Linked DNA regions of Canis lupus familiaris. The protein of the gene in region 2 interacts with the protein of the main gene of each other region in a biochemical or structural test. Links are inferred from orthologs where the notes say so. Each region holds a gene or a part of one and is shown on either strand. Other genes may lie near its edges.

What was found.
Region 1: the proteins of STK26 (region 2) and CAB39 are reported together in a solved structure, tested with the Homo sapiens proteins (2 studies listed by IntAct, with this or other methods). The link is inferred for Canis lupus familiaris from reciprocal best matches to the Homo sapiens genes STK26 and CAB39.

What each region holds. Positions count from the first base shown.
Region 1 is NC_049246.1:42,900,419-42,905,010, reverse strand, and holds the start of CAB39 (calcium-binding protein 39), read right to left. Parts: upstream 2,849-4,592; 5' UTR 2,720-2,848; intron 1,618-2,719; exon of another isoform or gene 1,388-1,617; intron 1-1,387. UniProt on the Homo sapiens protein: Component of a complex that binds and activates STK11/LKB1. In the complex, required to stabilize the interaction between CAB39/MO25 (CAB39/MO25alpha or CAB39L/MO25beta) and STK11/LKB1.
Region 2 is NC_049260.1:103,879,228-103,883,545, forward strand, and holds the start of STK26 (serine/threonine-protein kinase 26), read left to right. Parts: upstream 1-1,447; 5' UTR 1,448-1,611; intron 1,612-1,713; 5' UTR 1,714-1,822; coding exon 1,823-1,864; exon of another isoform or gene 1,865-2,029; intron 2,030-4,318. UniProt on the Homo sapiens protein: Serine/threonine-protein kinase that acts as a mediator of cell growth. Modulates apoptosis. In association with STK24 negatively regulates Golgi reorientation in polarized cell migration upon RHO activation.

The DNA.
Region 1 (4,592 bases), on a different chromosome or scaffold from region 2:
ATTAGCTTTATGAAAGTTTATACAATCTAACTCAACATCTCTTTATATGCGATTAGAAACAGAAACCGAGATCCCACTAATAGATTTTAGAATGTAAAGCAAAGGGAAAAAAAACTGGTTTAAACAAGAACCTGTAGTCTGAAATGCTAATGAACTAAAGTGAACTGTCTTGAAATGAGAAACAAAACAAAATTCCTTTTGTTATAGCAGCAATTATTTCACCAAATTTTATATTTTACTAAAGAAACGCCAACAGAAAAACTACATATTGAATCTTTGTAACGTCATGATCAAAAAGTAGTTAATCTATACGGATAGCCTCAGTATAAAGACTATTTTTTAGAAGAGGAGGGTTAGGGGAGATGGGGAGATAAATCACTCTGTATGGGAGATATTATACCAGCTAAGAAAATCTTTTTAGAAAGTACATGTTTTTTTTAAAAAGTATATCCACTCATATAAGCAGAAATGTGTAATCTCTTCCATATCTGATGCTGACACCCCCCCCAAATAAAACCTTTCTTCAATAAGTAATAAGACCTAAATCCTACAAAGAGGTTAATAAATATACTTCAAACAAGACACCTTTAGAAGTTCTGCCCACCATTGCAGTTATTAAGCGTGACTACTGCATTTTATCTGAGATAAATAAATGCAACCCTGTCCAAAAAAAAAAAAAAAAAAAGAATACGCTTAAGACTTTCCTTACTCGGGTAAAAATGTTTTTATATAAAGATATTCAATGAACAAAAATGTTAATATTTATACATACATGCAGTTTTTATTTCATCATGCAAGAAAAAAATAAGCATAAAAAGACTGAAAAGGAAGTATGCAAAAATGTTAAAAGCAACCAAATCTAAGCGGTAAGATTATAGAAGATCATTTAAAAAATGTTTTCCAGGACCTCTTGCATTTTACAAGGTTTTCTTGACTGAAAAAAGTTGACATTCACGGATCATAGAAACAAACAACAAACAAGTGTTTTAAGAAACGAACATGAGTTCTAAGCTGCTTCCACAAATCATCTATTCTAGACTTTAAATACAGCTAATTATCTGCTAGTAATCTTTTTTTTGGGGGGGGGGGGTGGAATGTACAAAAATCAAGCTAGATTTTCATTTCTCACTCTCCTACACTTTCATAACTAAAAACTAATGAAGAAATGTTTACCTTTCCATAAAAACGGTTCTATGTCCCAACTTGCCGCCCCGGAATATTAATAACAACCTGATTTTTTTTTTTTTTAAAGTCATCAATTTAGATTGCCCTTACAAAATGCCCTTTCAAAGAAGTCACGCTTAGCTCAGTAATTCCAAAGCGTAGCCACCTAACACACAGTGGAAGAAGTTTTGATGCGTTTTTTTTTTTTTTTTTTTTTTTTTAGTGAACCGCACCAACAGAAACGCCTTCCGTGCAGAGGAGCTTATTTCGTGCGCATCTTTCCCTTACCTCTTAAGAGCCCGGTATCTAATGAAGCTTTTTTGCAAAAGGTTCTTCGCTTGGCCTGGACGTGAATTTATCTGTAGCTGTCAAAATCGATCTCGAGCTGCATTATGTTCAAGGCACAGAACGACGACTCTCTACTGGGCCTCCCTCCTCCTCTCCCTTTCCCAAGAGCGCCTTTAAGATCTCCCAGCTTACATTTCCGGGGCTCATGAGTCACTGGGCGATGAGCGCTCAGTCCACCTTAGAAAGCCGCTCCAACAGCCCCTACACAGGAGCCGAGCGTCTGGCCCCTCAGCACCTCGGGAGCCCGACCCCTTCGCTCCCCGACTGGCCACAGGCAACTGAACTAATTACCCACTATTTCTAGACCATGCCTTTTTTTTTTTTTTTTTTTTGTGATCTTTGGGTTTGCTGCCCCTCCACATACCGCCGGGTCCCCACCCGTCCTCTTCCAAACCCCATGGGGCCTTCCACGCCCGGCTTGGCACCGCCTCGCCCAGGAAGCCTTCCAGATTTCTGCCAGGCGGAAGGAAGTGATCGATCGATCGGGTCCGGTCCGGTCATTCCCTGGGTGCCTTTCTAGCACTTTGTAGCTCTTTCACAGGACTTATCGCCTCGTCGCTGGTACCGAGGTTATTTGTGTGCTGGGCTTATCTCCCCCACGGCAGAGGCTAAGCTGCTCGGGGCGGGGGCGGGGGGGGGGTTACCTTTGAATCCCTCCGGCGCGGACCTGCTGCGGCGCCCGCCCGCCCGCCCGCCCGCCGCGCTCGGCTTTTGGCTCAACTGAAGCCGGGAAGGCTCCGGCCGCACGACTCCCAGCCAGAAGTCAGGGAGGCGCCCCCGCCCCCGCCCCCGCCCCGAAAGGAGGATCACAAAAGATGCTGCCCGCGTCCCCGTGTCACACAGGAAGCGGAGCGGGGCTCAGGGGCGAGGGGCCGCGGCCGGGGACTGGGCCGGGGCCGCAGCGGGAGTGACAGCTGGCCCGGCCCGCGCCTCCCCGCCCACCCGCCTGCGCCGCCGCCGCCCGCCCCCCGCCGAGGGGAGGCCCGGGAGCCCCGGGCCGCAGGCCGCTGCGCGCCGCGCCGGCGAGGGCGAGCGAGGAGGGAGGGAGGGAGAGAGGGCGGGCCGCCGCCTCCGCCGCCGCCCGAGAAAATGGAGGCAGCCCCGGGCCCGGTGACGGGCCGGCGCCGCGGGCAGGGCAGGGCCGGGCCGGGCCGGGCCGGGCCGGGCCGGGCAGGGCAGGGCAGGGCCGGGCCGGGGGGTCACTCACGGGGCTGGGCCGGGCGGCTCCCTCTCCGCCTCCGCGTCGTCGCCGTCCCCGTCCTCGGCCGCCGCCGCCTCGGGCTGCTCGCTCGGTCCCCGCGGCGCGGCTCGGGCGCTCGGCCCCTCCGTTGTCTTCCGCCCGCTCCTGCTCCCGGCGACGGGCTCCCGCGGCGGCGGCGGCGGCGGCGGCGGCGGCGGCGGCGGCTGCGCGGGCGGACGGCGGCCCAGGGGCTCCCGCGGCGGCCGCCGCTCTGCTGCGCTCGCTCGCTCGCTCGGGCTGCGGCTGCGGCTGCGGCTGCTGCTGCGGGGCCCCGCGCCGCCTTCGCCTTCGCCTTCGCCGGCTCCCGCAGGCTCGGTGGCTCCCAGGCCGCGCCGCTCCCCGCTCCCCGCTCCCCGCTCCGCGCTCCCGGCCCGAGCCCGGCTTTGACGTACGCACTGCGCAGCCGCCGGAGGCGCGACGTCGGGCGGTGCCGCAACGCCCCCTTCCGCCTCGGGCGCCCCCCAGCGGCCGGGCGGACTCGGGACAGCGGGGTCCCCGCCCGCGGCCGGAGCCGGAGGGGCCGCGCCAGGAAAGCCGCGGCGGAGGGAGGCCCGCGGTGCTACCACCTGCCGCTCACGTGCTGGTGCTCCGCGCGCTTCCGGGAGGAACCCGGGGTCCGCCTTCTGCCGCCGCTTCCTCAGCTGTTACTCAGCTGTTAGCAAAGCTTTTTTTTTTTTTTTTTCCTAAAAAAGCAAGGGCCGATTTTGTGTAGATGGATTCTTTCATGCTGGGGAGGGACAGATCAATTCATTTAGCATCCTCTGAGAGCGCGCGCAGAAAGTGATGGAATGATCCAGATGAATAGGATTTAAACTCCAGCCCCACTCTGTGGATTATTTCCTGTCCCAATGCCTGGGTTCCTTTACACACACACACACACACACACGCACACACACACACACACACGCACACACACACACACACACACTACCATAGGCTTATGAGAATGAAAGAGCTAATGCATTGCAAAGCTCTGACAGCAGAGTCTTCTACTTAGAAATGCCAGGCATGTACGGTTTTTGTTTCATTTTGTGGCTTTGTTCTTAACTTGTGATTGAATGGATCGTTTTTGAGCATCCACTGTGTGCCAGCCCGTGTGTCCTAGGTGGTGGGGAAGTGAACAAAACAGGCCCTGCTCCTGCAACAAACCAATCAACAAATAAACCACTGTATGCAAGTGGCATCGGATGGTTTCCAGGGCTGTGGAGACACACAACACAGGCCAAGGAGGGGGGAGAAGGGAAGATACTGTTACTTACTGCGCTCCTGCAGGGAGCAGCTACAAGAAGAAAGAGCTCTGTGTATGGAAAGGCAGAGGGAACAGCAAGGAGGAAGGCACTGAGATGGGACACCAGGGAGCCCAACAAGGCACTTGCACGGAAGGAGGGGAGGGGAGAAAGAGGCCAAATGGAACAAACTGAGGACTTTGTTTCTCACTCTGCATGAGATGGGAAGCTATTTGGAGGGTTTTGAGCAGAGAAAGGGCTTGGGCTAAACTTTCAAAGGCTGTAATGCCCAGCCTGAAGGACCTGATGGTTTCAGCCAAGAGACTCCTTAGAAGGCTTTTGAAATAGTCCAGTCAAGAAGGATACCTGGGTAGGTCAGTGGTTGAGCATCTGCCTTCAGCTCAGGGCATGATCCCGGGGTCCTGGGATCAAGTCCTGCATTGGGCTCCCTGTAGGGAGCCTGCTTCTCTCTCTATGTCTCTGCCTCTCTCTCTCTGTCTCTCATGAATAAATGAATAAAATCTAAAAAAAATAATAATAATAATCCAGTCAAGAGAAGACAGGCTCAGTCCTGGGTGGTAGCAGTGGAAGAGTAAAGAAATGGTCAGGTTCTA
Region 2 (4,318 bases):
ATTGTTTAACCCCATAGAGCCTTTTTCATCACTTGTAAGATGGAGGGGTAATATGGGCGACTTCAGAGGGCCTTTGTAAAGAGTCAATCATGTAACGCATATCTAGCACTTTGCCGTCCCTGGCACAAAGAAAATGGCACCCATTAAGAATAATTATGTTTAGGGATCCCTGGGTAGCGCAGCGGTTTGGCGCCTGCCTTTGGCCCAGGGCGCGATCCTGGAGACCCGGGATCGAATCCCACATCGGGCTCCCGGTGCATGGAGCCTGCTTTTCCCTCTGTCTGTGTCTCTGCCTCTTTCTCTCTCTCTCTCTGTGACTATCATAAATAAATAAAATTTTTAAAAAAAGAATAATTATGTTTATAACACTAAAATGCTGTCTTTCGAGAAAGATTCAAAGGCAACAAAAGAAACAGAAGAAACTTTAATGAGTGTCTACTAGAGTCCCAACCTTGTGTTAGGTCCAGACCTATAACAATTTGCAATGTAAGGAACTTCATCCTCATCTTAAACTGGTACTTGGATATGACATTTTTAAATGTACTTAACCCCTGTTGGTCCCCCCAGGTGCCTTCATGATGAGATTTCTGTAATTGTTACTATTATCATTGTGACTTGTTATCTTTAGGGTATTCTCAAAAGGAACTGCCTCCCTGTTGGAGCAGAACTTAAGAGGGAACAAAGGTAGGGAATTGCTAAAACCACTATTGCGTATGCCGTATACCAAGTTCATTAAGGCGTACTACTAAAGATCTGGTCTCATTTTTTATGCCTCTATCATCCTCATTAATTTTTCTGCTGATGTAATATCTGTTTTCCAATTTCTCCCCCCCCCCTTCCACGTGCAAACTTGCGACGAGAAGCCCCAGTTTGGCAGCCCTCCAACCGACAACCCAAGAGGTAGGGGTAGCCTCAGGTTCAAGTCACCTGAAGTACGTCTGGGGGACGGTGAATCCAGAAAGCAGGCGAGCGGCTACGCGTCTGCCCAGAGGCTCGGCCCCAGCCTGGAGACCCAGACCCCGGGAATGAATAGAGGGTCCACCAACTCGGCGGCTCTCTGTGGCCGCACCCTTGACTAGATCGCGGAGCCGATAGGGATTTCCAACACTCCCCAAGTTTCAACTCAAGTGGTCTCTGAAGCTGCGTGTGCCCCAGCTTCGAACGTCTGTCCGCCTGTCGGCGACGTGGCCGCGTCGGGGACGCACTCTAACCCCCAGGGTCACCGAGACGCCTCCATTCCCTCCCCTGGCCGGGCCCAGTGCCGGGCCCCCCAGCCCGCGGCTTCTCCTCTCCGCGTGCGGAGGGAGTCCGCCCCCTCGCCGACCCAGCCGCACGCAGCCCAGCGCCGCGAGGGGCTCCGGCGCTCCTGACACCGCCCGGCGGCAGGGCGGAGGCAGGGCCAACGGCGGAACCGCCCCCAACCGCCTCCCGGGCCCAGCGGGCGGGCGGGTTGCTGGGGCGCCTCCACCTCCTCTTCCTAAAGCGGCGAGGCGCCGAGGAGCGGCATCACTCGAGCCCAGGTCCCGGCTACCGCCACACGGTGCGCCCAGCGTTCGGGAGGAGGAGCGGCGGCGGAGGCGGCGGCAACAGCGGCGGGCGGGCGCCAGAAAGGTAGACTGAGCCCCAGGCAGCTGCGCCGCCAACCGCCCAGAACCCCCAGCCCGGGGCGACGCGCCACCAGCTCAGTCACCCCACTTCTGTGTGTCCTTCCAGGCCCCGGTCGAAAAGCCTGGGAGGGCCGCCGAGCTACCCCCGGAGGAGGAGCCAGTCCGAGCCCAAGGCGCCACCGCCACAGGAGCAGTGCAGAGCAGTCTTCGCCTTCATGGCCCACTCACCGGTGGCTGTCCAAGTTCCCGGGATGCAGGTGAGGAAGCCCAGGCCGCCTCCGCCGACCACGTGACTGCCCCAGAGCCCGGTGCGCGGTCCCCGGTGACCAGAGGCGGCCCCGGGGCTCCCTTGAAGGCAGGGCCGGGCGCTGGGGCCAGGTGACCCGGGAGTCGGGCTCGAAGCGTTTTCCGGCGGCGTTTAGACCAGCTGGTGCATTGCGCGGGGAGGGGCGGGGAGGGACCCGGCGCGCGCCGAGGTGCGGGGGGGGGGGGCGCGGGCGGCGGGGGAGCATAAAAATAGGCCAGATCCAGACACCTGCGCCTGCGGAGCGTGGTCCGCCTGGGGACTGGAGGTGGAAGGTCTTAACTTGAGAGAGATGGAGGTGTCTCGAATTTGTGGGGTAAAAAGCAAGTCGTGCGCCACCCCCCGCACACACACAAGTTGGGGTGGAGCAAGACAAGGGGGTGTCGGTGGCGGCGGTGTTGAATTGGGCTCTTCCTGTGTGCGTAGTGCGAAGAGCGAGGTGGCTTCTCTTCGGTGTTGCTTCTTAAGGGCGAAGTTCTATCTCGCTCCCCCACCTGGCCCATCCCATAGTGTGGCTTGAGAAATGCTGCGTCCTTCGTCTGAATGGCTGAGGTGATGACTCCCCAGCCCCCTCCCCCTGCCTTTCCCATAAGACAACTGTTCATGTGGTTAAAGGAAGCTTTTTGTCCTGGACAAGGGACTACTGCTTAAGACCCATCTTCTATCTTGAGATTTACCCAGCCCCCGCCCCCCATTACATTTTCATTTTATTCAGGAAGAAAGAAGCGATGTTCCTACACTTTTTACGCGGTTACGTATTTAAAGTGGTGCATTTCAAGCTATCTACTAAATGTTATCCAGGTCTACTAACATTTAAGCGTTCACTTTTTTCCTTTCCTAGATAGCCTAAACAACCCATTTATGAGCAGATGAAAGACTAGAAACACTAAAGACTCACTCAGTCCCTCATTAGCTTCTAAAAATGTAAAGCAGATTTTTTTCAAGTTCAGAAAAAAACGTTTAGAGTTGTAAATAGCTTATGTTTCTAGTAAAACGCTGTGGATTGGGGCCTCAATATACTAATTGATGCATGGAATTCATCCTTTTTTTTTTTTTTTTTACCGACTGGTCATGTTTTATGCATGGTCACAAAAAGTAATTTTAAAAATACTTTCCCACAAAAGGACCATTTGTGTGGGACATATATCAATCCTAGGACTCCTGTGTGTACTAAGCACCAGGCCTAAGCACCAGGCCTTTTAGCTGAATATAGGGCAAGTCTGTGTTGAGTCCCAGGAAGTCGGTTTGTATTTAATAAAAAGGAGAAAGAAAGAAAAAGGGAAATGAGAAATATTCGGGCTTTTTAAAAGATTAATCCATTCAGCCTTTACAAAATGCCTCAAACTTTTTTCTCAGACCAACCCCTTCCCTCCCTCACTCATTCCCCCATCCACCCAGCCCCACAACCCATTCATTCAGTCTGCCTTTGATTGTGTAGCAAGAGATTAGTAGTTTGCAGTACTAACTCCGATTTTGCTCTGTCTGATGTGGAAGAAGTGCGAAATACTTCTCACCGTGCTCTTCTTTCCATTCTGCGGGGAGTAGAACGGTACAGATGGAAAGTTTGTCCCTGAGGGTCTCCATGCTTCTGTCTCCATTGTGTGCGCCTGCGTCAGCAGAGAGCGTGCCTCCTGTTCATCAAGTTTGTGACTCTGGGGAACTCTGTGTGCTGGGAAGAAAATGGTTTCTGGTCTTTATTTCATTTGTCTTTATTTGATTTATAGGGTTTAGGACCCCCTTGCCATTCAGTGTTTCTTATTGCTCCCTGCTTTAATTATTGGAGTTCCCTATCTCTTGAATTTTAAAATCTTCATTAAGGTGGTTTAGTATGTGAATCACATCTTAATTTACAACTTCTGCCTCTTACTGTATGCCTTCCCAAAATTGTGGTTACTTAGTCCCACATAATTTGGGGAGGACAGTCCTCTCCATATTAGCAAAGAAGAGAGGGATACTTGTCACTTTCTCCATCTTAATGAAATGATAAATTCTTAACTGTTTATTTCCATTTTATTTGTAGGTGTGATTCTTAAGCATTTGATGCATCACAAAAGCTTTCCACAGTAAAAATTGCACAGTACCTTAAAAATAAATTTGATACATGCAGTGTGACTCTTGAGACTAGACTACTTTTACTATTCTTTTGTTCAAAAATATTGCAAATGAGATGCAGAAATATATGCACTTGTAAAATTCTCAACTTTTGTTCAAGAGTTAGGAGCAACTTTTAAACCGAGAGTAGTAAGAAAACTCAAGTTAGCCATGTGTTCTTGAAATTAATGTATAGTATTTCCACAAATCAGGGTGAAGTGGTTGACTGGCCTATAACTTTTTAACAGTTTATTTTAGAGAATTATGAAGATTGATGGAAAAAATGATTTTTCCAGAAATAAAAACAAAATTACTT